Linked DNA regions of Caenorhabditis elegans. The protein of the gene in region 1 purifies or fractionates together with the protein of each later gene. This does not show direct contact. Each region holds a gene or a part of one and is shown in the gene's direction. Other genes may lie near its edges. The genes, in order: hcp-3, cct-7, rpl-11.1 and fkb-2.

Evidence for each region.
Region 2: the proteins of hcp-3 (region 1) and cct-7 purify together in Caenorhabditis elegans (affinity purification with mass spectrometry, with the first as the bait; one large-scale study listed by BioGRID). This does not show direct contact.
Region 3: the proteins of hcp-3 (region 1) and rpl-11.1 purify together in Caenorhabditis elegans (affinity purification with mass spectrometry, with the first as the bait; one large-scale study listed by BioGRID). This does not show direct contact.
Region 4: the proteins of hcp-3 (region 1) and fkb-2 purify together in Caenorhabditis elegans (affinity purification with mass spectrometry, with the first as the bait; one large-scale study listed by BioGRID). This does not show direct contact.

The regions. Positions count from the first base shown.
Region 1 is NC_003281.10:9,612,637-9,620,259, reverse strand, and holds hcp-3 (Histone H3-like centromeric protein hcp-3), read left to right. Parts: upstream 1-3,789; 5' UTR 3,790-3,806; coding exon 3,807-3,898; intron 3,899-3,949; coding exon 3,950-4,196; intron 4,197-4,244; coding exon 4,245-4,547; intron 4,548-4,599; coding exon 4,600-4,824; 3' UTR 4,825-4,954; downstream 4,955-7,623. Other genes in the region: F58A4.6 (DUF4807 domain-containing protein), read right to left, coding at 4,976-5,096, 5,145-5,290, 5,334-5,504, 5,554-5,681, 5,730-5,769; pri-1 (DNA primase small subunit), read left to right, coding at 5,981-6,080, 6,127-6,385, 6,514-6,724, 6,773-7,078, 7,131-7,215, 7,595-7,623. UniProt on the Caenorhabditis elegans protein: Histone H3-like variant which exclusively replaces conventional H3 in the nucleosome core of centromeric chromatin at the inner plate of the kinetochore.
Region 2 is NC_003283.11:1,869,314-1,878,807, forward strand, and holds cct-7 (T-complex protein 1 subunit eta), read left to right. Parts: upstream 1-2,932; 5' UTR 2,933-2,938; coding exon 2,939-3,028; intron 3,029-3,086; coding exon 3,087-3,608; intron 3,609-4,165; coding exon 4,166-4,876; coding exon of another isoform or gene 4,877-4,921; exon of another isoform or gene 4,922-5,190; intron 5,191-5,576; coding exon 5,577-5,861; 3' UTR 5,862-6,192; downstream 6,193-9,494. Other genes in the region: knl-3 (Kinetochore NuLl), read left to right, coding at 1-467, 521-811, 875-1,048; T10B5.4 (aralkylamine N-acetyltransferase), read right to left, coding at 1,263-1,421, 1,703-1,817, 1,878-2,116, 2,187-2,387; zig-11 (Ig-like domain-containing protein), read right to left, coding at 6,888-7,060, 8,802-9,075.
Region 3 is NC_003283.11:3,582,943-3,589,869, reverse strand, and holds rpl-11.1 (Large ribosomal subunit protein uL5A), read left to right. Parts: upstream 1-3,805; 5' UTR 3,806-3,811; coding exon 3,812-3,946; intron 3,947-3,996; coding exon 3,997-4,212; intron 4,213-4,261; coding exon 4,262-4,501; 3' UTR 4,502-4,537; downstream 4,538-6,927. Other genes in the region: T22F3.12 (Peptidyl-prolyl cis-trans isomerase), read left to right, coding at 1-111, 455-558, 607-841; T22F3.2 (Ubiquitin carboxyl-terminal hydrolase 36), read right to left, coding at 1,124-1,228, 1,703-1,867, 2,112-2,241, 2,291-2,453, 2,509-2,751, 2,805-3,038, 3,089-3,230; pygl-1 (Alpha-1,4 glucan phosphorylase), read right to left, coding at 5,081-5,257, 5,318-6,275, 6,582-6,927. UniProt on the Caenorhabditis elegans protein: Component of the ribosome, a large ribonucleoprotein complex responsible for the synthesis of proteins in the cell.
Region 4 is NC_003279.8:12,915,872-12,922,546, forward strand, and holds fkb-2 (peptidylprolyl isomerase), read left to right. Parts: upstream 1-2,850; 5' UTR 2,851-2,855; coding exon 2,856-3,053; intron 3,054-3,106; coding exon 3,107-3,235; 3' UTR 3,236-3,409; downstream 3,410-6,675. Other genes in the region: fkb-8 (peptidylprolyl isomerase), read left to right, coding at 644-887, 1,303-1,502, 1,571-1,709, 1,763-1,965, 2,018-2,104; pfn-1 (Profilin-1), read left to right, coding at 6,169-6,294.

The DNA.
Region 1 (7,623 bases):
CGGTAGGCGCGAGCCAGACAGTGAGTGAGATAAGAGATAAAATAATTTATCGGGGGGAAGACAAAGAAAGCTAAAAGATAAAAAGAAACATAACAACATATGGAATCATAACAAACTTGAGGCAGAAAATCAGAAATCTAGGAAGAACGATATGATGGTCGAGTACAGTAAGATCATAGAGGTAGACCCCCTCTAAAATTGTGGGGACTTACTGTTTTCTACTCCCGCAATTTTTGGAGGTCAAATGGAAAGAGGGTTCACCTGAATACTCGTAATAATGGGTACTATATTAATATTATTAACTTTTTCATAGATTTTTCCAAACAAGAGGAAACTTGTTGATCAAAAAAATGGAACTCTTACCATATGGAATTCAATATGAAACATGTTGCAAATAAATGTCGTCACAGACGCAAGGGTGTGTGTGATTTGACAGAATAGGTCAGGTGTTCAATCGCGACTAGATTTAGATATTGGGGTACACAACCGAAAAAACGAGACGATCGAAATACGTTCGTCGGCGGGACGAGAGATGGGGGAGCCGGGCGCGAAGAGAGACTGCGAGACAAATAGACATATACACAGGCTGACTGACTGGCTGACTGGGCTGGGGGGGGACGACGCTCCGAATCATTTGGGAGAAAAAAGTTTTTCGCGGCGGCGACGACGACGAAGACAGCGGTGGTGGTGGTGGACTGATCGGTTTGCTGCAGCAACACAGGCAACATGGGGTTGAGATGAGAAAGGGAGAAATTGGAAAAAAAAGAGATGGAAAAGAGAAGAAGGAGCTGACGAGAAACACACCACACTCACACACACACACTCACATAAATGTTAAAGGCCAGCAGCAGCGCCTCAATGGTCTTAGGGGTTGAGGGAGCGGGCGCCTCCTTCTCTCTCTCTATTGCTTACTCTCTCATGTTCACTATCTCTCTATATCTCACAATTTCTCTATACTTTTCCTATTTCTTCGTTTCTCTGTAGCTCTCGTCGCAAAAAAGGAGGCGAAGCGCCGAACATATCTCTGCGTCTCTGACGCACTCGTTCGACGATCATCAGGCTTTCGGAGAGGAGGAAACGAGAGAAACGATGGGCACGTGGATGGGCACCGACGGGGTCGGGATGCCATCGACATGTGTTTTTGGTCGGATGATCTTCGAGGTTGAGTTGGCGCCAGGATGTGGAAGAGGATTGGTGAAGGATGTTCGAATCAAACAGATGGGAATATTGGTCACTAGATCATAGATAATTTGCAAGATGTCCATCAGGAACTACACAGTATTGGCTTTGTGGAAGCACGATGCATACACCGCGACTCGAAAATTTTTGCAATTTGCGCCTTATGAATGGCCGTTTTTGTGATGCACCATGAATTAATTGCCTGGTGTGCTTGAGTTGTTCAAACACTTATAACTCAATAACTATGTATAATAGCTAGCAATATACATTAAACTACCTAAATGTTCCAAATTATCTGGTCTACATATATATTAATGTCAAATTTATAAAACTCTATTTTGAAAATAGTTGAAGCTGCTGACATCCGGCGGGCAAGTTCTTGAATCGAATTTCTAAATAGACCACAACTTTGAAACTGGGTGTTTTCATGGAACAAAGTTTAATATGAAAATGTTTTCCATAAAAATGCCTACATTTTGCAATTTATTGTTGTGTAAAAAATTGATCAGGAAAAAGTATACGAAGCATGAAACATGAATTATGAAAGTCTGAGGAGGACCTCAGCTGCTGTAACTTGATCCGAAATAGAGTTATATAATAATTTTGACATAAATAAAAATGTAGAAAAAGTAATTTGCAACATCTGGTCAGTTGAAAATATTTTGCTAACATATCTTTTGAGTTATTCGAACAGCTCAAGCAAATCACTGTAAAACCGTGAACGAATAGAATATTGACCGACTCCGTAGGTTTTGAAATTCAAGAATTCAAATTCATTCAGCTGCAGTTTTGGTTTTTTTTTCGATTTTTTTCCTTATGATTTCTGTGCCAATTATGTACACCTAAAAATGTTTCCTTTCACTGAGAACATCTCGACGCGCTCATAAAATTCAATTGTTTAGTGACAGACGTCACGAAAGCATTTTACGCATCATTGTGATAGTATTCTTACACAGTTTGTCACCCCATTCGTCGTCGCGAATATTTCTTCATGTGTTCAATCTTTTTTTGGGCAGAATGTAGAAAAGAGAGAGACAATACTGCAAAAGTGATATTGAAGAGGTTTCCGTGTGTGTGTGTGTGTTGGTGTTTTGAAAATTCTAAAGACACAGAATTGGAAAGGAAAATGAATCAACACGGAACACGTACACTTTTTTTTGGAAACAAGTTTAGTATTAACTTTGCAAAACATGTCATGTCTATCGTTCTATCGGGATAATGGTATTTGAAAAGAAATAAAAAATAAAGAAAGAAACCAATCAGCGTTTCCGGACTCCGCCCTTTTTGTCTGATTGGTGGAAAAGTGTGCGGAGCAATTTGCTAATTGGTATTGCAGTTCTTGTTTTGGAGGGAATTCAAATTCAAACAGAGCGATTAGCCGAATTTTTTGGCATTTTAGACTTTTTTGGTATTTTAAAATTATAAAAGTTGGCTTATATGTTTTCAACAAGCTTCGGAAAGCTCATCGAAATAAAATAGGTTTGCTAGTTACGAGCCTTTCCTGAATCACTTGGTGTCAGGATCAAGTGTTTCATTTTTCGATTTTTCGCTGTTTTGATGGGAAAAAACATGGAAAAAAGCGGTAATTGAGACGTAGTTTCCAACCATTGTCACTCGGTTAGCAGGCACACTTTTCCGGCCGAAAAATTTTTTGAATTTTTTTAATATCATATATAAAAAATCCTATTTAAAACTATAGATCAGTTATGAGACGTCTCATGAGACCACGTGATTCGAATTGAAAACTTGTGCTATGTCATTGCAGTAGACTCGGCTTATCGAACACTGGATTACCAGGTCCAAATATAAATTTATTATAATTTTTTTGCAGCGAAGTTTTAAGCGTTCTTCGATTATAAGAGAATATTAGCTCTAATTATTATTTCTAGACCTGCTTGAATAATCGCCTTCCGCGCAAGCGGAAGTTGCTGGCGCATCTCTCGTGTTACTTGCACATTTTAGTTTTTCAAAGCGCGCGGAAGCGCGAAAATTTGGTTTTTCTTTTCTAGAATTTTCTTTTGTCTGTTGATGGTGACTCTCAGATTATTGTCACCTAAAATTAGGAATTATTTTGATTTTTTTTCTTTTTTTTTCCTTTTTGTATCAGACTATTTTTACATTTTTGTGTGTTAAAGCTCCAGAGTGTCGTGAAAAACACCGAATCATTGTCTTCTCCGGCGAATATTTGTTTTTTCACTGCACTTTCCAAAGTTATCTCGATAAAAAATTATACAGCTAATCTCATATTATATATTATCGCTGTATGCGAGACACAGCCCAAGGCAGTCCAAGTTTCGTGAAGTTTTGATGGAATATTTATGAAGAATCGTTTTTTTTTCGAAAAAAACAACACAATTGTTCAATCAGCTGAACTAAATTTTTATAAGACCCAAATATTGATTAATTAGGCGACCCCCGGGGTTGAGTCCGTCATTTATGTTGTTTTGTGTGCACTTTAGCGTGATGTCGTCTGCGTATTTCCCTGCGTCTCTCGCCGCCAATCGTTACTTATTTAAACTGCGTTCGCATTTATTGCTTCTTTAATTCCTTTTTAACCTTCAAACAAATCGTCTTAATTTAGCTTCAGTTTTCTAAATTTTATATTTTATCAGGATAATCTTCGAACAATGGCCGATGACACCCCAATTATTGAGGAAATCGCCGAGCAAAATGAGAGCGTCACAAGGATCATGCAACGTCTCAAACATGACATGCAAAGGTAAGTGATGATTTTTGTTTTCGTGCTACAAATTAATGTCTGCTGTTTCAGAGTCACTTCAGTGCCGGGATTCAACACAAGCGCCGCAGGTGTCAACGATTTGATCGACATTCTGAACCAGTATAAGAAGGAGCTTGAGGATGATGCAGCCAACGACTACACTGAAGCGCACATCCACAAAATTCGATTGGTCACAGGCAAACGGAATCAATATGTCTTGAAGTTGAAGCAAGCCGAAGACGAATATCACGCGCGAAAAGAGCAAGCTCGGAGAAGAGCTTCGTCTATGGATTTCACGGTTAGTTTCAATTTTGTATGATTTCAAACAACATAAAATTTATTTCAGGTCGGCAGAAATTCCACGAATCTTGTCGATTACTCCCACGGCCGTCATCATATGCCCTCATACCGTCGACACGATAGCTCCGACGAAGAAAACTATTCTATGGATGGAACAAATGGCGATGGAAATAGAGCTGGCCCATCGAACCCCGATCGTGGTAATAGAACTGGCCCATCGAGCTCCGATCGCGTGCGGATGAGAGCCGGAAGGAACAGAGTCACCAAAACGAGACGTTATAGACCGGGCCAGAAGGCATTGGAAGAGATCCGCAAGTACCAAAAAACTGAAGACCTTCTGATTCAAAAGGTATACAATTTTTACTTTATTTAAACTATATTAAAACAATTCCAAATTTCAGGCTCCGTTCGCACGCCTCGTCCGCGAAATTATGCAGACTTCCACTCCATTTGGCGCCGACTGCCGTATTCGTTCTGACGCCATCAGTGCTCTTCAAGAAGCGGCGGAAGCATTTTTGGTCGAAATGTTCGAAGGATCGTCTCTTATATCCACCCATGCGAAACGTGTCACACTCATGACAACGGATATTCAGTTATACAGACGTCTCTGCCTTCGACATCTCTGATAACAATATTTGCAATACTCATTTTTCGATCTTCAAGCCATATTTATCTCATCAATTTTAGCGCTGTTTGATCTTTTGTGTACCGTGAACACGTTTACTATTTGTCAAATAATAAAGATTCATTACTTGTAAATGAGAACATTTTATTTAATCACTTGTTCGAACTAGCTTTTCCGAAAATATGAATAGCTCGAAGCTTCTGATAGACTCCTTCGCAGCATCTTTGTACAATATCCGTGTTCGGATTCTGTTTGGCCCAGTGATAAATTGCTCTGAAATTGACCACGTAAATAAGCCTTTTCTACTTTCAAGAATCCAACCTAACAATATTAACAGCATGCGAGAGATTTCCGAGTTGTGCTTCTGCGAGGGCGGTATACAGGTAGCATCGTGCAAGAATAACTGGATCTCCATATTTTTTCGCTAAGTTGATTTGATGAGCAGTAATTTTTGCAGCGACTTTCGCCTGAAAAGCTAGCGTTAAACTAAAGTGTAAACTGATAACTTACATAATTTGCATCGAAATCTCCCATAGCTGAATAAGCGCCACCTAGAGTAGACAAGTTCCACATGAGCTTTTCGAGATCAAGCATGTATCGGAAATGGTGTTTCAAACGTCTTTCCCAAGCATAATCGAGATTTTGTGCCGGATTTTTCACTTGGATGTTGACAAGAAGTTTCTGAAGCTTAAATATAATAACTTCTGGCAATAGAAGATAAATTAGTTACCTTATCGACGGGAATATTATAGAAGGCACGTATTTGAGCAAACGAATATTCTTCACGACACTGGAGAATATTCAAAAATCCGTACAAATCGTCCAAATTCGTGAATTCGAATACTAGTGATTGGGTACCTGCAATTATTTTATATTAATTAATTATTTGCTTATCTGACAGCTTACTGGTCGATGGAATTTCCGTAGAATGTTTTATTGAATTCATTTGTACACTGAAAATGAGTATAGAAATGGAGAGAAAATGGTCTTTTAGAGAAAAATAAAATAATGCAAACGCGCCCTGTTGTACACGCCGCGAAATTGGAATTTAAACCAGTTTACCGCACTACATATGTGCCTATTTCTTGAGGATTTCATCTTTTTTTAGCTTGAATTTCAATTGAACCAAATATTTATAGTTTTTTTTCTTTTCAGAAATGTCTTATAACTCCATCAGACTTCCACAAGATTTGCCAATATACTACAAAAACTTCTTCCCAGTCAAACCATTCACAAAATGGCTCCGCTACGGACAAAGTGAGTTTCGAATTTCGATTTTCTTAACGAAATTTGAAATTTGCAGATAACGGAGACTATTTCAACCGCCGAGAATTCGCATTCATTCTGGCAGATGACGTTCATATCAGATATCGTAGTTACAATGACGAACACGCATTTTTCAAAGCACTTTCAAGTACTAACCCGGAAAAACTTGATATTGGAGCTGTCTACAATCACGAGCCAATTAATAACAAGAGACATACAGATTATCAAGCTGTGGAACGAGAATTGGTTTTTGATATCGATTTGACCGACTACGATCCAGTTCGTAATTGTTGCAAGTAAGAGTTTACGAAAATCCCGTTTCCGCGTATCTCTATTTTTATATTGATATATTTAGCAAAGATAGTTATTTGAGGGCATTATTAAGATGATCTGTAACCCACTTTTCGATTTTCTAATTTTTCAGAGATGCCACCGTCTGCCCAAAATGCTGGAAATTCATGGTTCTCGCTGTTAAAATCTTGGATTTCCAACTGGAAGATATGTTCGATTTCAAAGCACGAATGTGGGTCTTCTCTGGTAGACGTGGAGTACATTGTTGGGTCGGTGACAAAAAAGCGAGGATGTTGAACAATTATCAAAGATCTGCAATCGCGACCAGACTCAATTTGTTCAAGGTTCGAGAACTTCTTTGTCCAAATTAGAATAAAAAATTCATTTTACAGAAAAATGGCCAATGTGAGGTGACTGAAGGTCGGGCCAAAATGACGAAAGTTCCGCCGATTGTGCGTGACGCGTTTAACGTTGCATTGAAAGATGGAGTTTTCGAGAAGATGATCTATGACCAGGGATGGCTGGATAAGGAAGATTTTATCACAGAGTACAAGTTTATGTCAGAAGTAGGCAGAGATGACTTGCGTAGCCTTTCCGAGACTTACAAAACTCCACAAGAACGCTGGAACATGATTCGTGGGCTTTTTGATGACGACTATCGCAAATCGCTTTCTCCGAAGGACGGTCTTCTCGATTTTGTAAGTGGAAGCTTTGAGATAACAGTCGGAAAATAGATAAATCAATTTTCAGAAAATGCAAGGTCGCGACCGAAATTATCTTCTCTACTTTGTTCTTCAACGATGCTATCCACGTCTTGATGTTAATGTATCTACAGGTGAAATGTTTTTTACATATTTAAAAATAGTTTCAAAATCAAAAAGAAACTGTATAATTTCAAAAAATTTCGACATGCATTCTTGAAAGTGCACAGATTTATTCAGATGGGCCTCGGCGCGAAAAAAAAATACAACCATTACTTTTTGCGCACCGAGACCCATCTGAATAAATCCGTGCTCCTTTAAGAAGGCATGTCAAAATCTTGGGAAATTACGATAAATACTGAAAACTTCCTTTATTTCGAAAATAGTTTTTTTCTTAGAATTTCTCACCCTACAGATTTCAAAAAATTGAAACTTTCTGAACAAAAAATAATTATTTTCCTAATTTTTCGATGAAACTGCGTTGATTTCGTACTAAACGGTCACATTTTACAGGAACAAATCACTTGCTCAAATCCCCATTC
Region 2 (9,494 bases), on another chromosome or scaffold:
GAGAGGTGCCACGTGCAGGGCCGCCAGTTTTTGCCCTCGAGCACGATGTTTCGGAAGTCACCGACAGAAATAAAGACGGCACCTTTCTGGCTGCAGACGCGTGCGCTAGTGGCCCTACTTTGAAGGTTCCAGACGAAACACAAGGTTGCCCAGAAACTTTCAGTGTTTCGGAACACGAAGATGACGACGACGTTGAGCCGATGGAAGTTGATGGAACCATCGTTCCGTCGCCCCAGCGAGCAACGCCGACACGTGGCGTAACTCCTTGCGAAAAATCGACGACTCCACGCAGAAGATCCTCGAGAAAGTCGATGCCAACGCCTGGGAAGCGTCTGTTCTTCACCAGCAAAGACACTACGAACGAGGATCGCAAGGCTGATGACTCGACGCAACTGGAGCTTCTGATGGCAAAGATTCCGCAGGAGATGTCGGGTTACATGAAAAAGTTGGCCACCGACATCAAAGAGGTAGTATTATCGATTTTTAACTTTACATTTAAATCTAAAATTTTCATTTTCAGATGAGCCAATACGATGCACAGCTGGCGCGGAATATCGACGACATGGAAGCGGTTTTCAAATCCCGCGAAACTAAGCTCAAGTCAGCTATTGAAATCGCCAAGGACAGCTTCATCTCGTCCGCTCTGCCTCTTCGCCTCGAGACCCTGGACATGACTCTGCGTAAAGAAGAATCGCCAAATGATATCGTTGCGAGACTTCACGGAAGTTTTCTCGACAAAACCCAGGATGCCGGAAACGTGAATACTGCACAAAAGGAGAACCAGCAGCTGGAGGATGAGCGCGGGATGCTGGTGAGAGTTTCAAATTATTTAAATATGATTTTTAAAAATAAAAATACAATATTATATTTCCAGGAAGAAAAGCTGGAGAGTCTCAACAAGATCAAGAGAGAGAAGGATGAATTTCTGGCGAAAATGCGAAAAGAGGAAGAGGAAGCGCTCGCTCGCCGGGAGGAAATCAAGCAGGGCTTCGAGCGAATCGATGCTCTAATGAGCAAAATCAAGCCGATTCCAATTTTTGAATTCTGATTTCTGATTTCTCACGCTCTGTATAATATTCTATTTCTGACACAATTGATTTCATAAATACATGTATAATATTTTATTCATAGCCTAGGTCTTGCTTATTAAGTGTCAATTTCATTACGTGTACTTTAATTATTGGTTTTGAGTATCTGAAGTTGAGATCCTAGCTGCTTTGGTCCTTTATAAATATATGTTTCTTTAATTTGAGTTGCTATCGCTATCGAAGGTCGTCCTCTTCCTCCTCATTTGCATGTTTTTCTAGCTTCTTCCCCATTAGTTTCCCGCTGACTCCACCGTCGACGAGGTTCTCGAAAACCACGTCGCCATTGTTTCGAAAACAGGAAAATGGCATTTCGCGAAGTGTTGTGAGACCACACTGGAATTTTATTAGTTTTTGAAGCTTTTAGATCGAAAATTCATCGAGGCACCACGGATTCAAGTGCCAACGCAAAGAAACGGGCCAGATCCGATATCCCACCGGTTCTAGATTTCGTGGTGCCTCAATTGGTCTTGCCACGTGGTCAAAGGTCTCGCCACGCTTCCGATGTGGTGTGTGTGCCTTTAAACACGGGTACTGTATTTTTTATAGGTTTTCTGACTTTTCGCTCTATTTTTTTCGTAAAAAGCGGAAATTTTATTGAATAAGAAACTACTATCCTTGCTGAAAATATTCTGAGAAGCCACAGCAGTTGCAACGGTTGCCACGTACTCGCAATCTTCCTTCACAGCATTTTCCAGACTCTTCTCGACGAGCTGTCTTCCGATTCCCTTCCTAAATTGAGCACAATTCCCTAGGAGAACAAGAAAAAAAAAGAAGAAAATTGCTTCCTACCCTTGACAAGCCTTCGACACGCACAGCACATCGATTTTGAAGACTTTTTTCGGATTTCCAGTCAAAAACGACAAGTCTTGCTCCAAAACCTGCACGAATGCCACCAACTTGTTGGCATTTTCGTGTTTGTACTGGCCATTTGTGATTTCTGCGTTAAAATCCCAGTGTGGATTGAATGGGGTCGATTCGGAAACAAAAGAGCATTCTTTGACGGCATTCAGGCAAACTGCCACGATTTCCTGAACACTTTTTTTTCTAGAATTTGCGGGAAGCTAGATTAAATCTGAAAAACAAAAAACAAAAACCTACTTCCCCATCAAAAACCAGAATTGAACTTTTCTCATCTTCCAACCCGCTCATCGTCAAATCAACGAAAAACTCGGCGACATCTTCTTCCGAGCAGCTCAATGAAGTTGTGATGGGCTCCATTACTCTAAAATGCTCCACCAGGAACTTGTGAACTTGGTCCTTGTGCTCCAGGAGCCCAGTTTGGAATGTGAGCTCCGGCATTTGCAGAAAAAAGCGAATAAAAATAAAATAAAAGAAAGCAAAAGTGAAAGACTATTCCTCGAGAGCTCTGTGAGCCCTCACTTTTTCTCTGAACCTCCGAGACAACACGCGTTACATTTGCATTTTCACCACACATATTTCCCATGCTTCCAAGTATTGACATTTTCCTTTTCCTGCTTTTCTACTTCTCCCCTTCCTCACCGAAGTGTCTACTCGACGATTATGGAGCTTCTGAGAGCTCTGCTTTGCAATATTCTCAATGGAGCGCATTTGTGGCTGGTGGCCGTGGCCGCGAGCCGCGACGCAAGCACGCGCCGCTCCTGGGAATTGTTTCGAGAAGGAATATTTTCGTCGGACTATTTCTCGATTTTCATCTGGATCTTTGTGAATTTTCCAGATTTTCTTCATTAATATAATACTTCTAGACTTTCTACACATTTTAACATCAAAATCTTCGAATTTTGTCTTCTCTGCCCTCGTTTTAATCGCTCTTAATATTTCAAAATATTATACTCGTGCTTTAAAAATTAATAATTCAAATTCAGAGCAAGATGATGCGCCCACCAATTATCCTGCTCAAGGACGGAACTGAGAACAAGCAGGGAAAGGGTCAGATCATTTCCAACATCAACGCTTGTCAAGTTAGCTTCTAAAATTCTAAAATTTAGTCAAAAATGCCTAAAATGCTGTATTTTTCAGGTTGTCGCCGACAGTATCCGTACCACCTTGGGTCCACGTGGCCTCGACAAGCTCATCGTCGATAGCAAGGGAGCCACGACGATCTCCAACGATGGAGCCACAATTCTGAAGCTTTTGGATATTGTCTTCCCGGCCGCCTCCACAATGGTTGATATCGCTCGTTCTCAAGACGCTGAAGTCGGAGACGGAACCACGTCTGTCGTCGTTTTGGCCGCCGAAATTCTGAAGCAAATGAAGCCATTCATCGAGGACGGTGTCCATCCACAACTTCTCATTCGCGCCATCGGAAAAGCTTGCGAGAAGACGCTGAAGAACTTGGCTGATTTGGAAATCAAAATTAATGGCGAGACGGAGCTCCGTGAGATGCTTGTGAAGTGTGCTGCAACCACGTTGAGCAGCAAGCTCGTCAGTCAAGAACGGCTTTTCTTCGCCAATATGATTGTCGATGCTGTGAACACGTTGGATGCTCATCTTCCATTGAACATGATCGGAATCAAGAAGGTCAACGGAGGAAATTTGCACGTTAGTGAATCGAAAAGTCGTCTATCACGCGGTGTTTTGTCTTTCCACTGAAAATTGCAGATTTTTCAGCTTAAAAATGTTTTTCTCTGCATTTTACTAACAAAGCAGCTTTTTTAAACAGTGAAAATCGAATTTAAAATGACTAAAATGAACTTTTTTCGTCCACTGGTTGAGGAATGGTTAGAAATTGAAAAAATCAACGGGATTTTTCTTATTTTTTAAATATTTTTCCATTAAAAATCGATTTTAAACCATTTTGACCCTAATGTTAAGTCACAAATGGTTTAAAACCGATTTTTAATAGGACAATATTTAGAAAATATGAAAAATCCCGTTGATTTTTTTTTCAATTTAAAATCATTCCTCAACCATTGGACGAAAAATGTTCATTCTAGTCATTTTAAACTCGATTTTCACTGTTTACCAAAAGCTTTGTTAGTAAAATGCAGGAAAAACATTTGTTAAGCTGAAAAATCCGCATATTTTCAGTGGAAAGGCGAAATACCTCTATTTTAATTAATTAATATTTATTTTTAATTTAATTTTAAAAATTTCAGGAATCCCGTCTCATCAAAGGAGTTGCCTTCCAAAAAGCGTTCAGTTATGCTGGCTTCGAAATGCAGCCAAAGAAGTACTCCAATGTCAAAGTGGCTCTTCTTAACATTGAGCTGGAGCTCAAGGCAGAGAAAGAGAACGCTGAGATGCGTCTGACCAACGTTTCCGACTTCCAAGCTGTCGTTGACGCTGAGTGGAATATTCTTTACGATAAGCTTCAGAAGATTCACGATTCCGGCGCCAACGTGGTTCTCTCGAAACTTCCAATCGGAGATGTTGCTACCCAATGGTTCGCCGATCGTGACATGTTCTGTGCTGGACGAATTCCACAGGACGATCTTGATCGCTTGATGTCCGCATGCGGAGGAAGCGTTCTCACCACAGTCTCTCAAATCGACGACTCTGTCCTCGGAAAGTGCGGAAAATTCTACGAGCAACAAGTCGGAAGCGAGCGTTACAACTTCTTCGAGGACTGCTCAAAAGCTCAGGCATGTACGCTTCTTCTTCGCGGTGGAGCCGAGCAGTTCATCGCCGAGACCGAACGATCTCTTCACGACGCTATCATGATTGTTCGTCGTGCCAAGAAGAACGATTCGATCGTCGCCGGAGGAGGTGCCATCGAGATGGAGTTGAGCCGATTGATTCGTGAGCATTCGAAGGGTATTGAGGGCAAGGATCAAGCTTTCTGGATGGCTTATGGACAGGCTTTCGAGGTAGATATTGAAGAAACTGGTGCTAGTATAAATATGCAGAAATGAACGATTTTCGTGATGAGACAGTTCAAAATCTCGAAAAACTGGATTTTTTTGCTAAAATCTTTAATTTCTCCAACTTTTCCGTTTTCCAGTTGCTGGAAATTAAATTTTATTCGATTATCGATCTTTATTGCAGGTTTTTATCGTTTTTCTTCAGTTTTTTGTTGGCTTAGGCAGCCCTCAAGCTGTAAGGCTGCCTATTGACTCTAAATTTGCCTTAAACGAAGAAAAAACGACCAGAATATGCAATTTAATCGCATAAAAGTAAATTTTCAGCCGTTTTGATACGGAAAAGTTGGCAAAATATATGATTTTTGCGAAAACTGACCTTTTTTCAAGATTTTAAACAATTTCTGTTAACTTTCAGACCTATTTTGAGCTTAACTTAAAATGTGCCGAAATGAAGGAATTTTGAAAGTTCAAAATCTTGAAAACCTGGCTATTTTTAGTCAAAACCCCGAAAATTGCAGGTTTTCGTCGTTTTTCTCCCGTTTTTTAGGTTAGTTAAGGCAGATTTCAAGCTGTAAGTAATAAACCAACTAAAACATAACATTTTTTAAAGAAAAAATTCTTTGTATTTTTGAGTCGAAGAAACCAAAAAATCCATTTTTTTCACCAAAAACACCCAAAAAAAAAGCTAATTTCCGAAATTTTTCAGATCATCCCACGCCAGCTTTGCCAAAACGCCGGACTCGATGCTCTCGACGTGCTGAACAAGCTGAGACATCGTCATGCTCAAGGCGAGAAATGGGCCGGAATCGACATCCATCGTGAAGCCGTCGGAGATAATCTTGTCGCATGTGTCTGGGAGCCGAGCATCGTGAAGAGGAACGCCATCACAGCTGCCACCGAAGCCGCGTGCCTCGTTCTTTCGATCGATCAAACGGTGAAGAATGTTCGTACACCATCTGGAGGAGCAATGCCAGGACTTCCCGGGCAATAAGGAGATCAATGTGCCCCTCTGTGCATTCGCTGCTTTCTTTTGCTGTATTCAAATATTCAAATTTTGCGCAATTTTTTTTTAATTTTCTTCATAATTTTTGTTTGTTTTCTATCATTTTCATTAAACCTTTTGTTATGATCCCCCGTCTCTCTCTCTCTCTCAAACGTTCTCATCATAGCTTCTTGCAAAAAACTTTAAATTTTTTCTCAATTTTTCTTTTTCCCACCGATTTATTGTCCACCACCCGCTTGTTTTCTCTACCGCTCCCCGTCGTTTTCGTTTTGAATTTTCTGTTTGAATAAGTGCACTTTGAAAAAATTTTAATTTCAGTATTTCAAAAAAAAAGAACCATTAGAAAGAAGGTCAAACCTTACCGGAAAAAGCAGAAAAAGCGGAGAAGTTAGGTGATGGGGGTGGATACCGGCTTCAAAGTTGGGGGGTGGTGGGTGGGGATTAAGATGCATATAAAATGTCGCAAAAACACCTACTTTTACATATAAATCGGGGAGAAAAGTGAAATTTCTTGAATTTTGAGGAGTCACCACGGATTCAAGATCTATGAGAACGAGATCTCTGAAAATCGAGGCAACAATGCTCCGATTATACGCATCGCGCGCGTTGTTTAGCGTGTTGAGAATTTTTTTTTTGTCCTTTTTTTTGAAAGAAAAATTTCTGGAAAACGATAAACAACGCGCACGACAAGCGTAATATCGGAGCATCGTAAAAATGGTAGATCACAGAATCCCACAGGATCTTGACACCGTGGTGCCTCGAAAAAAGATTAAAGGAACATATAAGTGTGGGTGGCAGTGAGGGATATCGGGGGGTAATTGGTGGAGCTTTTGAGCATTACAAAATTATGAAAAAATTACGAAACAAAAAGTGGTGACAGGATGTCCCACAACGGTGGTTTGATCAACAAAAAAATGCGGGAACTTTTTTCACAGAAATTAATATTTCCTAAATTCCCGCGATTTTCGGAGATCAAAACGACATGGGACATTCTGAAACCCGAGATGAAAGAAATTAGACGCTATTCTTCAACGGCACTTGATCGTTGTGAAGAGCTCGCTCACGATCCGCCACGTTATACTGATCAGCCTTGTACTTGGCACATCGCTGGCACGTGAAGATGACGAGGAAGAGCAGGAGCAGGATGATGAGAATGATCGCAAGTGGCAGCATCCATCCGTAGGAATCTGAAAAATTGATTTTTAGGAAAAAAAAACATTTTTTTTGTGAAAAACAAGAAAAGAAAATCGAGAAATTGTCAATTTTTCAAAAAAAAAAAAATTTTTTTCTAAAATTGTTTAGCTGAAAAAAAAGTTTTTTCCAATATTTTTGCAATTTAAAATTTTTTCAAATGAAAATCGGGAAATTGTCGATTTTCAACAAAAATTTATTTAATTTTTAGGTTTTTTGAAAAAAGTTTCGAATGAATTTTTTTTGCAATTAAAAAAATTAAATTTTTCTTTAATTAAAAAACAAGAAACAAATTGAGAAATTGACAATTTTCAAAAAAATACTTTTTTTCAAATTTTTTAACTGAAATAACGAAAAATTGTTGGCTTTTCAAAATTATTTTTACTTTTTTTTTGAATTTAAATTTTTTTTTCAAATGAAAAACCATAAATCATCAATTTTCCGAAATAAAATTATTTTTTTAAAGGGTATCTGCAAATTGTGCGAAAGTTGGTTTTTGGAGGAACAGTTTTCTTATTTTCGGATTTTTTTTCAGAGTTAGTCGAAAAATCGAAAAACCAGAAAAAAAAACAGAGTATAATTTTCTTCTATCTATAAATAAGAAAACGGGACCAAAAATTGAAGCTATTGTTGAAAAAAAAATTTTTTTTTTTTCTAAAATTTTTATAGCGCCAGTGGAGAAATTGCTTTAAAACACGCCTATGGTACCACAATGGCCAAATATCACGATAAAAAAATTCAAAAAATTTTTCTAAATTTTATAAGGTTTTTTTGAAAATTGGAAAAATCTTAGTTTTCCCCCTAATTCCTATTTGAATTAACGCCAATTGGATTTGTTCGATGGAGCGCGCTTGCACGTTTTTAAATTTATTTATTTTATTTTTTGTTAATTTCCACCGATTTTCAATGTTTTTGGTGTATTTTTGCTTGAATTTTAGAGAAAAAGTCAAAATAATTGCAAATTTTCGATTAAAAAGCACGCCTGCAGGCGTAAATCTATGAAATTAATTAATTCAGGTTTGAAATCGTTTAAAAACGTTACTTTTTTTCATTTTTACGCCTGTAAGCGTGCTTTTTAATCGAAAATTTGCATTTATTTTGACTTTTTCTCTAAAATTCAAGCAAAAATACAACGAAAACATTAAAAATTGGTGGAAAATAACAATAAATAAAATAAATAAATTTAAAAACGTGCAAGCGCGCTCCACCAAACGAATCCAATTGGCGGAAATTCAAAAAAAATTAGGTGAAATTGTGATTTTTCCATTTTTCAAAAAATCATATAAAATCTAGAAATTTTTTTTGAATATTTTAACTATTATATTCGGTCATTGTGACCTCATAGGCGTGTTTTAAAGCAATTTCCCCACTGACCGTAGTCCACCTTTAAATTTAAATTTTTTCTCGAATAATTTTTTCACGGGGTTCTGGCCTTTCTCATTGAATTTTCGCGCTCCATTGGCAATCGCCTGCCGGACAACGCGTGGAAAAGTGTAGTGTACTCCACATGGACTACACAAAATCTCGCGGACTCAAAATGGCCTAGTTCGGCAAACTCTGCCATTTCGATTTATGAGGGAGGCCAGAATTCCGTGTTTTTTTTCGACGGAAAAACGATAAAAGTTTAAATATCTAAAATCGGAAAATCAATTTCTAAAACATTTTTGTCCTATTTCAAAAAAAATCCTTTTTTCTGTATTTTTCGTCCAGCAAAACATCAGAGGGCTCCATCAGTACCTCCGATTCGCAACTCCTGATCGAGTTTCACGGCGAAATGTTGCTCGGGTCCGTCGATTTGCACAGGGAACTGGTTTGTTGCCTCGCAACGGTACACACCGGCGTCCTCTTCTTGGGCTCCTTCGATGCTCAACACGCCGGCCGTGAATTTGACGCGGCCCTCAATCTCCAGCGGGAACTTGTCCTTATACCAGACAATTTGGGGCTCCGGGTAGCCGACGATGGGGCATTGGATACGGGCGGCCGAGTCGAGAGGCGCGTAGACGGCTGGGCCCTGAAAATATTTAGTTTTTTTTTTTGAAATTTTTTGCAGAAATAATTTAAATTCCCGCCCGCGTTTTGACTAATTTTATAGGTTTTTCTTGTTTTTTTTTTAATTTGAAATTTGAATTGGAACATCGCTTGGCAATTTTCCATGCATTTTTCACGAAAAAGTATGAAAAATCTATCTACTTGGAGCGAAATTTGAAAAAAAAAACCTAGAAAATTACCCGGTGGCCGAGATTTCTAGTTTCTAGGCCATTTTTTTTTTCAAAAAATCGAGAATTTTTTGAAAAATTCGTAACTTTAGAGTTTATTCTACTTTTCTATTTCATAAACACCGATTATTTCGAAAATGCGTATTGCACATTATATTTGAAGCGCAAAATATCTCGTAGCGAAAACTACAGTAATCCCTTAAATGACTATTGT
Region 3 (6,927 bases), on another chromosome or scaffold:
GAAAAATGCCCTAAAACATGTGAGAATTTTGTGAAACTTTGCACCGGGCCGCCTGGTTTTGGATACAAGAATTGCGTGTTTTATAGGGTTATTCCCACTTTTTGTGCTTGTGTGAGTTGAATTCTTTTTTTTTTGAACGAATGTTTACGAGACCCCAATAATGAGAATACGTATTGCACAACATATTTGACGCGCAAAATATCTCGTAGCGAAAACTACAGTAATTTTTTAAATGGCTACTGTAGCGGTTGTGTCGATTTATGGGCTCGATTTTCGATTTTTTGTTTAATTTCAACATTTTATCGGCAAATAAATGATTTTAATGCATTTAAAAAATCAAGCCCGTAAATCGACACAAGCGTTACAGTAGTCATTTAAAGAATTACTGTAGTTTTGCGTCAAATATGTTGCGTAGTACGCATTTTGAGAATTTTATGTTCCCGTATATGTTAAGTCCGGCGATTTTGAAACCCAAAATGCTCGCCGAGACGGTGGAAAATCCACGTTTGGCACCAAATATTTCGACGACGAGAATTTCGAGATTCTTCACGACAAAAAGTGAGTTTTTTTTGCCCCCAGATTTCCAGGTAAATCCCTATTCTTCAGAGGAATCCTAGGAATGGATAACTATGGCTGGGAGAACACAAACTCGTCACGATTCTACGTGACGTTTCGCGAAACTCCGTGGATGAACCGATTCCACGTGGCGTTCGGCGAGCTCGTCGAGGGATTCGATGTTCTGGATGCTATTGAGAATCTGGGAATTCTGGAAGGAAATGGGCCGCAGCAGGGCAGGACAAAGGCCAATATTGTGATTGCTAATTGTGGTGTTTTTGAATAAATAAATAGCAATTAAACAAAATTTGATGATTTTCTAATCGGCAATTCAAAAATGAAAAGGTACGCCAGAATTAATAAAAAGAGAGAAAAAAACATGTAAAACGGGATTGAACAACAATGAAAAATACTGCTAAACGATAGTACAGTACTAAACGGGTGGGGAAGGGGGGCAAACAAAATGTATCACGGAACGACGCTACACGATTTCAAGGTAAAAATTTAAAAAAAAAATAGGGTACAGCTATGAGTGGGGGGAGGAACTAAATAATTGCAATTATTTGAACTAAATCATCGACTTTTCATTGCCAACGTTGGCCAGGTGTTCGCGCCGCCTGTAGAGCACAATGTAGGATTGAAGAGCATCTCGTGGATTCGTGTGTTGGGAGACCTGAATAGTAGATTTATTAATAGTTAACTGGGCATTCCAAAAAGGAAAAAAACAACAAAAAAGGAATGGGCCGAACCGGGGATTGAACCCGGGACCTCTCGCACCCAAAGCGAGAATCATACCACTAGACCATTCGGCCACGGATAAGTATCCATCGGGAAGCGAAGGACGTAGAAATGGTAAGAAATGATTCTTTATTAGTCATTTGAAGCAAGCATGCTTTACGTCTCTGGCTTCCCGCTGAATATTTATCAGTGGCCGAATGGTCTAGTGGTATGATTCTCGCTTTGGGTGCGAGAGGTCCCGCGTTCAATCCCCGGTTCGGCCCTTTTTTTTAAATGGAGTTTCATATTTCTTCGAATCTCTCCGGCGTGATGTATCTTTTTGCATAATCGCATTGTGGAATCAATGTTCTCTCTCTCACTTGTTTGAAACAGGAGAACTAGAAGGTCACATTGCCACACGGAACCTTACCGATGAATCATTCAACGTCACGAACTGCTCCTCTCGTTTTCTCGATCGAGCCACACACCAATAGTGGCCGTAGTCCAGCGTAGTCCCACCATGGATCACAGCTCCGCACAGCTTATAGACGGTGGATGCGCCGGCGGTGGCCATACTCGTCACATCGAGAGTTTCCTGAAATCAAAATTGAATTTTTTTTTTGTTGCTTAATTTAACTATTTTTACCCATTTTTCCGAATTTTTAAGCACAAATTATTAATTTCTATTCAATTAAATGACTTTAAACACTTAAAAGTGCGGAAAAATAGGTGAAAAACCATTCGGATAAAACTGTGCGGCGGAGTTGCGAAATCGCGCGCCGCGGATTGCGCTCGCGACTCCGCCCTTTTTTCCTGTGCCGTTTTCTTTAAAAACTAACATTTAAGGTGACAGGCCGAGAGATTTTCTTCCCCCAACCATCAAACGAGAAGCGAGAAATGTGCATTAGCAGGATCTGTGGAGCTCGGAGAAGTGTGGGCTTCACTGGCGCGTCGGATTTCTTTTTGCACCTGAAAATTGGGGAATTTTGATTGGAAAATGAGTTCGAAAATCCAGTACTTTGAGCAATTATAGCCGAATATCTTGGATTCCGTGAACAGAGCCTGCATGAGTTCTTTAATGGAGTGGCTTTTGCCTGATGGATCCTTTCTAAGCATCCGAACCGTCATAACGGTGTTGTGCTCATAGTAGACGTGCTTGTTCTTGCACCCGGGGCATTGAACTGGAAATTAAAATTATTTTCTTTAAAAAAAAAATCAATAAAGTGCTTCAAAAACCTTCATTTCTTATGGAATATCCGAACAAATCATCGGCCACTTTGCGGCCTTTCAGACGAGGATTGCTCTGCACCGATATCTTATCGAGCTTCCCCAGAATCGCCAGGAGAGCATCATGAGCGTCTTCCTGGCGGCCTTGATTGAATTTTCGATCTTTTTTGAATGCTTCACGGAACCAATTGATAGTTCCAGCATGGCCATGGCTTTGAAGGAAGTTTTTCTTCCAGTTGCAGCAGAGACAAGCTGAAAATTAGCATAATTGCGAGAATATTTCATAGAAAAATCATAAATCAAACCTGTATCTTGGCATTGATGATCCTGAAGGATCCTTACAATTGCCGGAACATGCGATAATAATTGAACACACGAGATCGCATAGCAATAAATCGACGGATTCTGGATTCCCTTTTCCGGATAATTCTCTCTCAATTCTGACCAATTCCAAGCGTAGAGACTGCTGACGAGTTCATGATTATCCAAAATCTCGTTTCCCCGGTCTGAAAGCGTTCGTGGGCGATTTGCTCGATTTGCTGCAAAAAACAAAATTAATCAGATTATTCGCAAATTTTCCAAAGCTTACATGGTGAATCAGGCGTTTTTCTATTAACTTCAATTTCAGGAGCTCGGGGTGCAGGACGATTTTGTGAGGAGGATGATGGAATAGTATCGAAATTAATCCATCTGTTCGTTTTGAACGAATCCCAACCCTCATTTACTGTCATTCTGTAACAAAAAACGTTGAAAAAAAATTAGAAATTCAATTCAAAAGAAGAAATTTCAAGAAAATATAGAAAAAATCAAGAAAATTCAAGGAAAACTTCAAAAAAAAAGAGCGAAAATCGGAAAAAAGCTGAATTAAATAATTAAATTCGAAAATTAAAGGCACACACCATTTTCGGGACCACGATATCTCGGCACGAAAACAAAACCGTACCCTCGAATCCTAAATCGGGCCGAAAATCATTTTAATTCGAGGTTTTTTTTTCTGATTTTTCGAGTTTTCCTCACAAAATGAGAGTGGTTTGTCGTTGTTTCGCCGTCTCTGTCACCCGTTTGTGCTGTTCTATCGCTTGCCCGTTTTCTCTGCCGTCTCTTCAGCGCATGCCGGTGTGTGTGTGTGTGTGTGCGCGTCGCTCCTCCCATTTTCGTTGTTTTAGGCCTAAAATTTGAATATCTTTCTAGGATCTCAAGATGCTAATTTTTTATCGGCATTTTTGAACTTGTGTCTATGCGTTTCTCTCTACTTGTTCTCGCTTGTCACAGTTTTCAAATTTTATGTATTTATGCTTTTTTTCAGGTAATCATGACGGACGTCGAAAAACAGACGGAAATTCGCGAGAAGAAGGGCCGCAATGTGATGCGCGAGCTCAAGATCCAAAAGCTCTGTCTCAACATTTGTGTTGGAGAGTCTGGAGATCGTCTCACCCGTGCCGCTAAGGTATTCCAATATATTCTACAGTAATTCGTAAATTTTCGAAATATTTTCAGGTGCTCGAGCAGCTCACCGGACAAACCCCAGTGTTCTCCAAGGCCCGATACACCGTCAGAACTTTCGGAATTCGCAGAAACGAAAAGATTGCTGTTCATTGCACCGTTCGTGGACCAAAGGCTGAGGAAATCCTCGAGAAGGGACTCAAGGTCAAGGAATACGAGCTTTTCAAAGAGAACTTCTCTGACACTGGAAACTTCGGTTTCGGAGTTCAGGTTAGCTTAAAGTTGAAGTGTTCAAAAGTGATGATTATTTTGTTTCCAGGAGCACATTGATCTCGGAATCAAGTACGACCCAGGAATTGGAATCTACGGAATGGACTTCTACGTCGTTCTGAACCGCAACGGAGTTCGAGTTTCCAAGCGCAGACGTGCACCAGGACGCATTGGACCATCCCACCGTGTCGATAAGGAGGAGACAATCAAATGGTTCCAGCAAAAGTACGATGGAATCATTCTGCCACCAAAGCCAAAGGTCAAGAAGAACTTCTTCCGTCGTCGTTAAGTTTTTCTATTTTCTGAATAAACTGTTGTTATTAAAAATGAAATTGCTAATGTTTTGTTAAAGTTGTGAATCATAGTCTGATTGTCGTGGATCTGAACTTCAACTTCCTGGAATCAATAATTTTACGTTGCGAATGGTCTTCTGATGTAGAAAGTTCAGGATATTTATCCAGGAATTTTGAAAACTCATCGAAAAGGAGTTTGGTATTTTGCTAACGAGCTGGTCGTAGAGGTATCGAAACTTCTTTGAAGATCCTTCAGACAGCCATAATTTTTAATTAAATTTCAGCATTTGCAGATTCGAGTCAAAATTAAAAAAAAAAAGTTGATATTTTCAGTCAATTTATCATAAATATGCAGGGCAGACGTGCAAATAGACAATCTCAAAGTATGGCAACACATTCGGGGGAAGTACGATTATTGGACTGGGGGCAGAGAGGACAAAATCAATTTGATCTTGAAGATTCACAAGAATTATCGGGGGAGGGAAAGGCTTCTATAAAAATGCTATAAACTAAATGGGACGGAGAGGAGGGGAAGTTATGGCGATAATTAATTACAATGTTAGTGCATAGAAGAATTATTCGCTCTTCTCATTCTCATATGGTGCTGGAAGAGAGCTCTCGAACTGGTCGATTCCCCAGATTTCACGAGCGTATTCGGTGATTGTGCGATCTGTTGAGAACTTTCCGGTCGAGGCGATGTTGTAGAGGGCCATGCGAGACCACTTCTCTTGGTCGCGGAATGTAGCGGAGACCTGAAAATAATTTATTTTGATCAGTAAAAATTTGAATTAGTTGAATTTTTTGAGTTTTACCTTATCCTGGGCTTCAATGAAAGCGTCGAAATCGGCGCACACCATGAAACGATCATGATAGCGGAGCATGTTGGAGAGATCCTTGAGCTGATCTGGATCTTCTGGAGTGAACATGCCACCTTCGATTTGCTCGATGATCTGCTTGAGCATTGGGCTCTTGTCGATGAACTCCTGCGAAGAGTATCCGCGCTTTGTGAGCGCCTCAACCTCCTCGACGTTCATTCCGAAGATGAAGATGTTCTCGTCGCCCATCTCCTCGGCCATCTCAACGTTGGCTCCGTCGAGAGTTCCGATTGTGAGAGCTCCGTTCAACATGAACTTCATGTTTCCGGTTCCTGAAGCCTCGGTTCCGGCGGTCGAGATCTGTTCAGAGAGATCAGAAGCTGGAATGATCTTTTCAGCCATCGAGACACGGTAGTTCTCGAGGAAGATGACCTTCAAACGATCACCAACGATGGCATCATTGTTGACTTGTTCGGCGACGGCGGTGATCAAACGAATGATCTGCTTAGCCATATGGTATCCTGGAGCAGCTTTTCCTCCGTACAACACGGTACGCTTAACCATATCGATGTTCGGGTTCTCCTTGATACGATTGTAGAGAGCAATGACGTGGAGAATATTGAGAAGCTGTCTCTTGTACTCGTGGATTCTCTTCACATGCACATCGAACAACGAAGCGGCGTTCACGTTGACATTGTACTCGTCGCTCAAATACTGGGCGACTTGTTGCTTGTTCTCGAGCTTCACACGACGAATCGAATCGAGGAACCCGGCATCGTTGGCGTACTCCTTGAGCTTCTGAAGCTCGTCGAGATTGGTGATCCACGACTCGCCGATCTTCTCGACGATGAGGTCGGCGAGAGATGGGTTGGAGAGAAGAAGCCAGCGGCGTGGTGTGATTCCGTTCGTCTTGTTTTGGAAGCGATCCGGGTAGAACTCATAGAAGTCACGGAAGCTGGAAATGGATGATATTAATTTTTTAAAATGGTAATTTTGCAATTTGCGCGTAAGAAAAATTGGGCGGGCCGGGATTGCAATTTGCGGCGCGCGATTTAGCAACACCGCCGCACGATGTTTTTTCTCTTTCTGTCCGAATTTTCAATGACAAATTATCAATTTTTCGTGATTTTATCGAGTTCACATATCGAAATCTTTCAAAACATCATGCGAAAAACAGCCAAAATAAATTCGTGCGGCGGAGCTGCAAAATGATGCGTCGCCCATTGGTTCTAGCGCCAGGTTTCAGAGCATTTTCGCTTACGTGGAGCTCTTGAGAAGATCCGAGTGAAGAGCCGCGACTCCATTAATGGCATGAGAAGCCACAATGCACAAATGAGCCATATTGATGCGCTTCTCGCCGAACTGATCGGCCTCCTCGACAATCGACATACGACGCATACGGTCGAAATCTCCTGGGAATCTCTGCGAGATGGTGTTCATGAACTTCTGATTGATCTCGTAGATGATCTCCAAATGACGCGGCAACAAATTCTGCATAAGCGACACTGGCCAGCGCTCGAGGGCCTCTGGGAGCAAGGTGTGATTGGTGTAGGCGTAGGTCTTGATGCAAATGTCCCAGGCCTGATCCCAGGTGAGTCCCTCGACGT
Region 4 (6,675 bases), on another chromosome or scaffold:
AATCCGCTTAACACATGGTTCCAATTATCAATTTATATGCAAAGTTAAAACAATATTTTAAAAAAATAGTGTAAGCCTTACGAGGAGATGCAAACGGCAGCAATTTTAGCCGTTAGCCGCTTTTCTCGATTAGCCGAATTAGCCGTTAGTCTAAAATTTCGAAACACGGCTTAAACCGAATTTGCCGTTAGCCGAAAAAAACAGTTAGCCGTCCACCCCTGCTCCAAATGTGAAAATGTATCTTTCGCCGATTCCAAAAGTTAGAGAAACTTTATGTTTCCTCGACGATTTTTGACCATTCATCAGCTGCTGTTTAATCTGGCATTTTTGAGATTTTCCTCAAGTTTCTCATAAAAATCCTCACTTTCCACAAAACCCAGAATTTTCAGCATTTTTTTTCAATTTTTCTTGAAAATTGTCAGAGAGGAAATTTGTAACCAAGAATCTGCTCTTTTTCTGAATCACGAAAAAAAATTCAAGTTTTCTCATTTCTCTGAAATGATTCGCTTTGCTCCTTAACTGCAATGGAGTGGTTGATTCGAATCAAGTTGAAAAAACATAAATTTTAGTATCCGATAACATCGCGAAATAATAAGAAGGAGAACAGCTTCAAACAATATCAAGCAACATCAGATGTAGAACAATGAAGGACCAAAATGGAGTAGCAAGCACTGATGACTCTGTTTTACCTTCTTGGAGTAACCCAGACGTCGGACAATTCATTGTGTCGACGTACAATGAGTACGAATACAAACGGATCCCATTTCGTGAACTGGAATTCGGATGTCTTCTATGCAGGATGAGAACATTCAATCACGAAGGAATGAAAAAACACTTGAGGGATCACGTAGTCCACAAAAAATCTTCATGTGAGCACGAAAAACCAGGTAATTCGCATTTTGTGTGAAATGTACACTCAAAATGAAAAACTGCGTGGCACGTACTGCAGAAAACATAATATTTAGGCCCCGCCTTTTTCTCGTCCACTCACGGAGAAAAGGCAAAAATCGGAACCCAACCAATATCAGGCCGCCGACATCTCACGGGTACCGCGCGCCGCTGCGTTTAACTCGCTGTGGGCGTGGCAAGTTGTCTCCGTGAGATGTCGGCGGCCTGATATTGGTTGGAATCCCGATTTTTGCCTTTTCTCCGTGAGTGGACGAGAAAAATGCGGGGCCTAACTAAATATTAGGTTTTCTGCAGTACACGCCACGCAGTTTTTTGTTATTTGGAGTGTAGAAGATATATAAATTACAAAAACTTTTCTTATTTTTCAATCAGAAATCTTCTATTTATTTTTAGGTAAAACTGGAATTCATCATCAAGTTGACAAAGCTGGAAATGGTGTAATGCCAGAGAATGGGCAACTTGTTCAGTGCTACATCGAAATTAAGCTTGCGGATTGCTACACATCTTGGTCCAATTACGAGAGCCAAAATCCGATTATCTTTAAAATTGGATTCGGTGAAGTCATTCCTGGTTTAGATATCGGAATCCCTAAGGTATGTACATTTTTATTGATTTTTTGCAGAACTCAATTTTTATAAATAAAAATTCAATGTTCTTTCAGATGAAAGTCGGTGAAATCGCAACATTTCACGTGAGTGGCAAATATGGTTACGGCCGCGCTGGGTTCAGAGGACTGATTCCTCGAAACGCTTCCCTAACTTGCAAAGTTAGGCTGTTCAATTGCTCATGGGACTCATATGGTAGATTTCTCCTTATTTTTGAGTTATAAATCTTAATATTCCCTCTTTTTCAGCAAAAATTGGCGTCGATAGACAGATTCTCGTCCAGGGCGACAACGTCACCAAGTCAAAGAACGGTCAGACCGTCACCTGCCACTACGTGCTCATCCTTGTGGACGGAACGAAGATCGACTCTTCTCGCGACCGCGAAACTCCATTCAAGTTCAAGATTGGAAAGGGAGAGGTCATCAAGGGATGGGACCAAGGAGTCGCCCAGGTTTGTACATCGATTAGCTCAATTTCAATATAAAAATTCAATTTTCTTTCAGATGTCAGTCAAAGAGAAGTCGAAGCTCACGATTGCTCCGGCTTTTGGCTTTGAAAAAGGCAAATTGCCAGCAGGAATCCCAGCGTAAAATAAAACGAATTGGATACATGCTGCGTACTTTATGAACTACCGTAGCCAGGAGAAAAATGTTTAAAATCAAAACTATGGTATTAATTTTTGTTCACTTGTTGTTGACACGATTGCCATAAATTTCAATTTTTAATTAAAATGCTTTGAAATTTTATTAATTTCCTTGTTTTTTTATTTATTTCTATCGAGAGAACTCATTTTCAACGATTTCCGAGAAAGAACAAATTTCTCTGAAGAGACGCAGACACTTACCTTAAAGGCGCATGCAATTTCGCGGCAGCGATATCTCGCCACGAACAGTGTCGCGCCTTGTTCGATTTTACTCTCGCCTCGTAAACAACCCATTTTTGCTTGTTTTTCACCGATTTTTGGTCATTTTTCAGAGTTTCTTATCGAAAAAATCATGTCAGACGCCCACTTTTCAATGACAAATAGTTGTTCTTCGAAAATTCAGTGTTATTTTGGCCTAAAATCGGCTAAAACTCTGGTCATCAGATTTTTGTTTACTTTGCCGGTTTTTTCCTGTTTTAGGCCATTCTTCTGGAGTTTTCTATCAAGAAAATCAGTAAATCAACTGAAAATCAGAAAAGCAACCTTATTTTCGAGGCAGAATTATCGATTTTTGAAAAATAATTGTTATTTTGGCCTAAAAACAACTTGAACTCGCCCTTGAACAATTTCTTCCTTTTCTTTGCCATTTTCTCTTTATTTCTGAGTTATAAATCTTAATATTTCCTCTTTTAGCAAGAATGGGCGTCGACAGACAGATTCTCGTCGAGGGCGACAACGTCACCAAGCCAAAGAACGGTCAGACCGTCACCTGCCACTACGTGCTCACCCTTGAGAACGGAAAGAAGATCGACTCTTCTCGCGACCGCGGAACTCCATTCAAGTTCAAGATTGGAAAGGGAGAGGTCATCAAGGGATGGGACCAAGGAGTCGCCCAGGTTTGTCCATCGATTAGCTCAATTTCAATATAAAAAATCAACTTTTCTTTCAGATGTCAGTTGGTGAGAAGTCGAAGCTCACCATCTCTGCCGATCTTGGCTATGGACCACGCGGAGTTCCACCACAAATCCCAGCCAACGCAACTCTCGTCTTCGAGGTCGAGCTTCTCGGAGTCAACTAAGCTGCCCGTCTCCGTTTGCAGCTCCGTTTTAGCAGCTGCCGTGTGCAACCTCTCCATAAATGATATCAATTTTTTTTAATGATTCCAAGTTTTCTTTCTTTTTCCCCCCTTAATTTTCTCTGTAAACTAAATATTTCTTCCTATCTAAGTAGCATAAATTATTTAATCTTTAAAAACAAAATGGTTTTTCTCTGTGCGTGTTGACGTGGCGTTTGTGTGTCCTTGAAGTCGAAATCTCCGATTACCTTGCCAATTTTACTCTTTTATTCTTTTCTTTTTCACTTTTTTGCCTCACAATTCATTCGTAATTGTGTGCGCGGGCGATCCTTGCGTAGCGCCCGTCTTTCTCAGAAGACCATCTGTTCTCCATTTTCGAAACAATTCAGGCCTCCTGTTCATTAGAAATACACAAGACGAGAGGCGGAAGACGCCTCCCCTTCGATGATTCATAGTTATTTTTATCATTTCAGATTCCTCCGCCCAGTGGGATGGTTTAAAAATCATTGAAATTCGCCATTTTTACACATCTTTTCTTGAAAAATCTCCTCTTTTTTGTCTCCAAAATTGATTTTTCAGTTTTTCCGACGTTTTTCCACTAGAAATTGGCAAAAGCCAGCGAAAATTGAGCAGAATTTAGCTAAGAGTACGGTAGTCGCCTAAGTACGCAGAGTTGCGTACGATGCATTCCATTTGACGCGCAAAATTTTCTGATCGCGAAAAAAGATTTTTGACCTCAATTTTTTGATCTGCCCGCCAATTTTCGTCGTGTTTTTCGAGAACTGGTCGAAGAGGATGACAATTTCTTCATTTTTCCACTTTTTTGGCCGGTTTTGTGACGTTTTTACCGATTTTCCGCAGGTTTTTCACAAAATTCTCGCGTTTTCTCCCAAAATTGATATTTCCAGCAGTTTTTTCCGCGTTTTGTCTCGGTTATTGCCAGAATATATTTTCCTCATTCTCTAGCAAATATTCGCTAATTTTCCTGATTTCCACCCTATTTTCTTCCGGAAAGTTCAGTTCGTTCCATTCTTGCTTTAAAACTGTAAGGAAGGAGCGGAAATAGGTGATTCAGAAAGAGTTTTTTATCAATTTTCGGCATCCGATAACGTCGTGAATCGAGAAAAATAAAAAAGCTATAAAAATTATCACATAGCGTAAGATTTCGACTAGAAAACTCTCAATTTTCCTATTTTTTTTGATGAAATTTCAGCTCACAGTGAGTGTTTTGTAGAAAAATGTAAAATTTTCCCCATTTTCCCCATTTTCCGCTTTCTGGAGTTTATTCGTTCGATTTACTGACAAAATCTTCGGGTTTTCTGCAATATTTATAGAAAAATCCGGCCAATGCTACGAAATTTCTGTTTTTCGCGGCTCTTTTGACTATTTCGTGACTTTTTTGGGGCTTCGATCATCAAAATTTCGAATATTTTTATGATTTTTGAGCATTTTGATGTATTTTTTTTCTTCTAAATGACTTTCAGATCTCCTTGGCAGAAAAAACTGCGAATATTATAACAACTTGAAGCTTCCTCGACGATTTTTGGCGACCTGCTGTTCCATGTGACTCACCATTCCAATTTCGCAATCCACTGGTCATTCTCGGCATTAAGATCCATTTTCAGCGCTCAATTTCGCAATTTTCAAAGCTAGAAAGCTTTGTTCAAATTGAATTGTTTCGCAACTCGTCTTCTATCGCCTTTTGGTTCTCTTTCTCCTCCGTCGTCTTCGCTGTGTTCTCTTCAAAATGATTCATCATTGGCTTTGGTTGTGTCTCTGGGTCTGTGTGTTCAATATAAATTGCAACTGCATTTGACATTAGTATGGATTGAGGCGGGTTATTTCACCCTCTTTTAGTAGTACACACACATTCAATTTGATGGGCGGTCTCTGTCTCTCTTTTCGTCCTTTATGGGTGAATAACTGACCAGCGGAGCAAGCAGGCAGGAGCAGGAGCACAAGCTCGTTGTTCGGGTTGAAAAGGGGAAGAAGGAGAGCACCAGATGGCATGCAAACATTCTCTTTCTCTTCTTCTCTCTATTGCTTTTCCTCACTGTCATTCACTGCTTCTCCATTTGCCCAGCCAATTAGATGGAGTGTTCCGGGTGGTCAAAGATGTCCTCTAGTTTTCGTAGCAATTTTCATCTTTCGGAATTTGAAATTGGAAGTTTTCTTTAATTTCTCTCAATTTTGGGTCATCTGGCGATTTTATGCCATTTTTCTTGTGAAATTAAATTCTCAGATTGCTCTAGATAGTTCAAATCCTCTAGTAGTTGAAAATTCGCCTCAAAACGTTGCTTTTTTAAAAAGAATTCTCCCTTAAGTTGGTCCTAATTTCTCGAGGCGAGATCTTCCAAAAGCTGAATTTTTCCAAGTTTTCTACATCTGAAACTCGAAATATTTACTATTTTCGTAGTTTTTGGTAGTTTTCGGTGTTTTCGAGCTTCAATTCCGCCTTTTTGGCCTGAAAATGGTCTGAAAATCATCGAAAATTGGTCAACTCTAGGTAAAATGCCAATTTTGGTTTAAATCGGCTCAATTCACAGAAAATTTCCAAGAAATTCATGAAAGAAGCTCAATTTTTGCACTACATTGGCGAGAAAATTGTGAATTTAGTGAGATTTTGTTGGTTTTTGTCATTTTATCCATTCGCAAGTTCTTCGCCACCAACTTACACCACAGATAAGCAAAAAATCTGCGGAAATATCAATTTTTGGGTATTTCGGCATTAAAATTCCATTTTTTGCGCAGTAAATCAAAAAATAATCGATTGTTTACAAAAACCGTAATTTTCAAGCGATTTTATGCTCTTTTTCTCCTAATTTGTGCTCTTTCTTCATATTATCATTTCTCATTACCCCTCCAACCATCTCAATCATAATTTATGTTTATTTTTTCAGTATAATCTCCGCTTCAACCTCCTCCAAAACACAAAAATGTCCGGATGGAATGCCTACATCGACACAATGACTGCCGCTGCTCCATCAATCAAACGGTGTGCAATCGTCGGAGCCGCTGATGGATCTGTCTGGGCTCGTACTGAGGCTGACAATGTGTTCAAGGTATGGAAATGGACGAAAATCATCGAAGAAGCTCGAGAAAAAATCGATTAAAACTGGAAACGATTGAAAAATCCTTAAATTGACCCATTTTTGAGATTGAAAAGAGCTAGCGGGGTCGATTTTTGTTGGAATTTTCGCATTTTGACCCAAAAAACTGAAAATCTCGCGAAATTATTCACTTTTTGAATTGAAAATCGAAATTTTTAGCCGCTGAATTTACATTTTACAGGAATAATTAGCAAATCCACTCAAAAATTGCAAAATTTTCATTATTTTTCGAACAAAATTAAAAAATTCCAGATTAGGCAGGCTTCAGGCGGCCGTGCCTGCCTACCAGCCCCTGTTTCTCATATAGTTTATACTTCTTCGAAACCCAAGTAG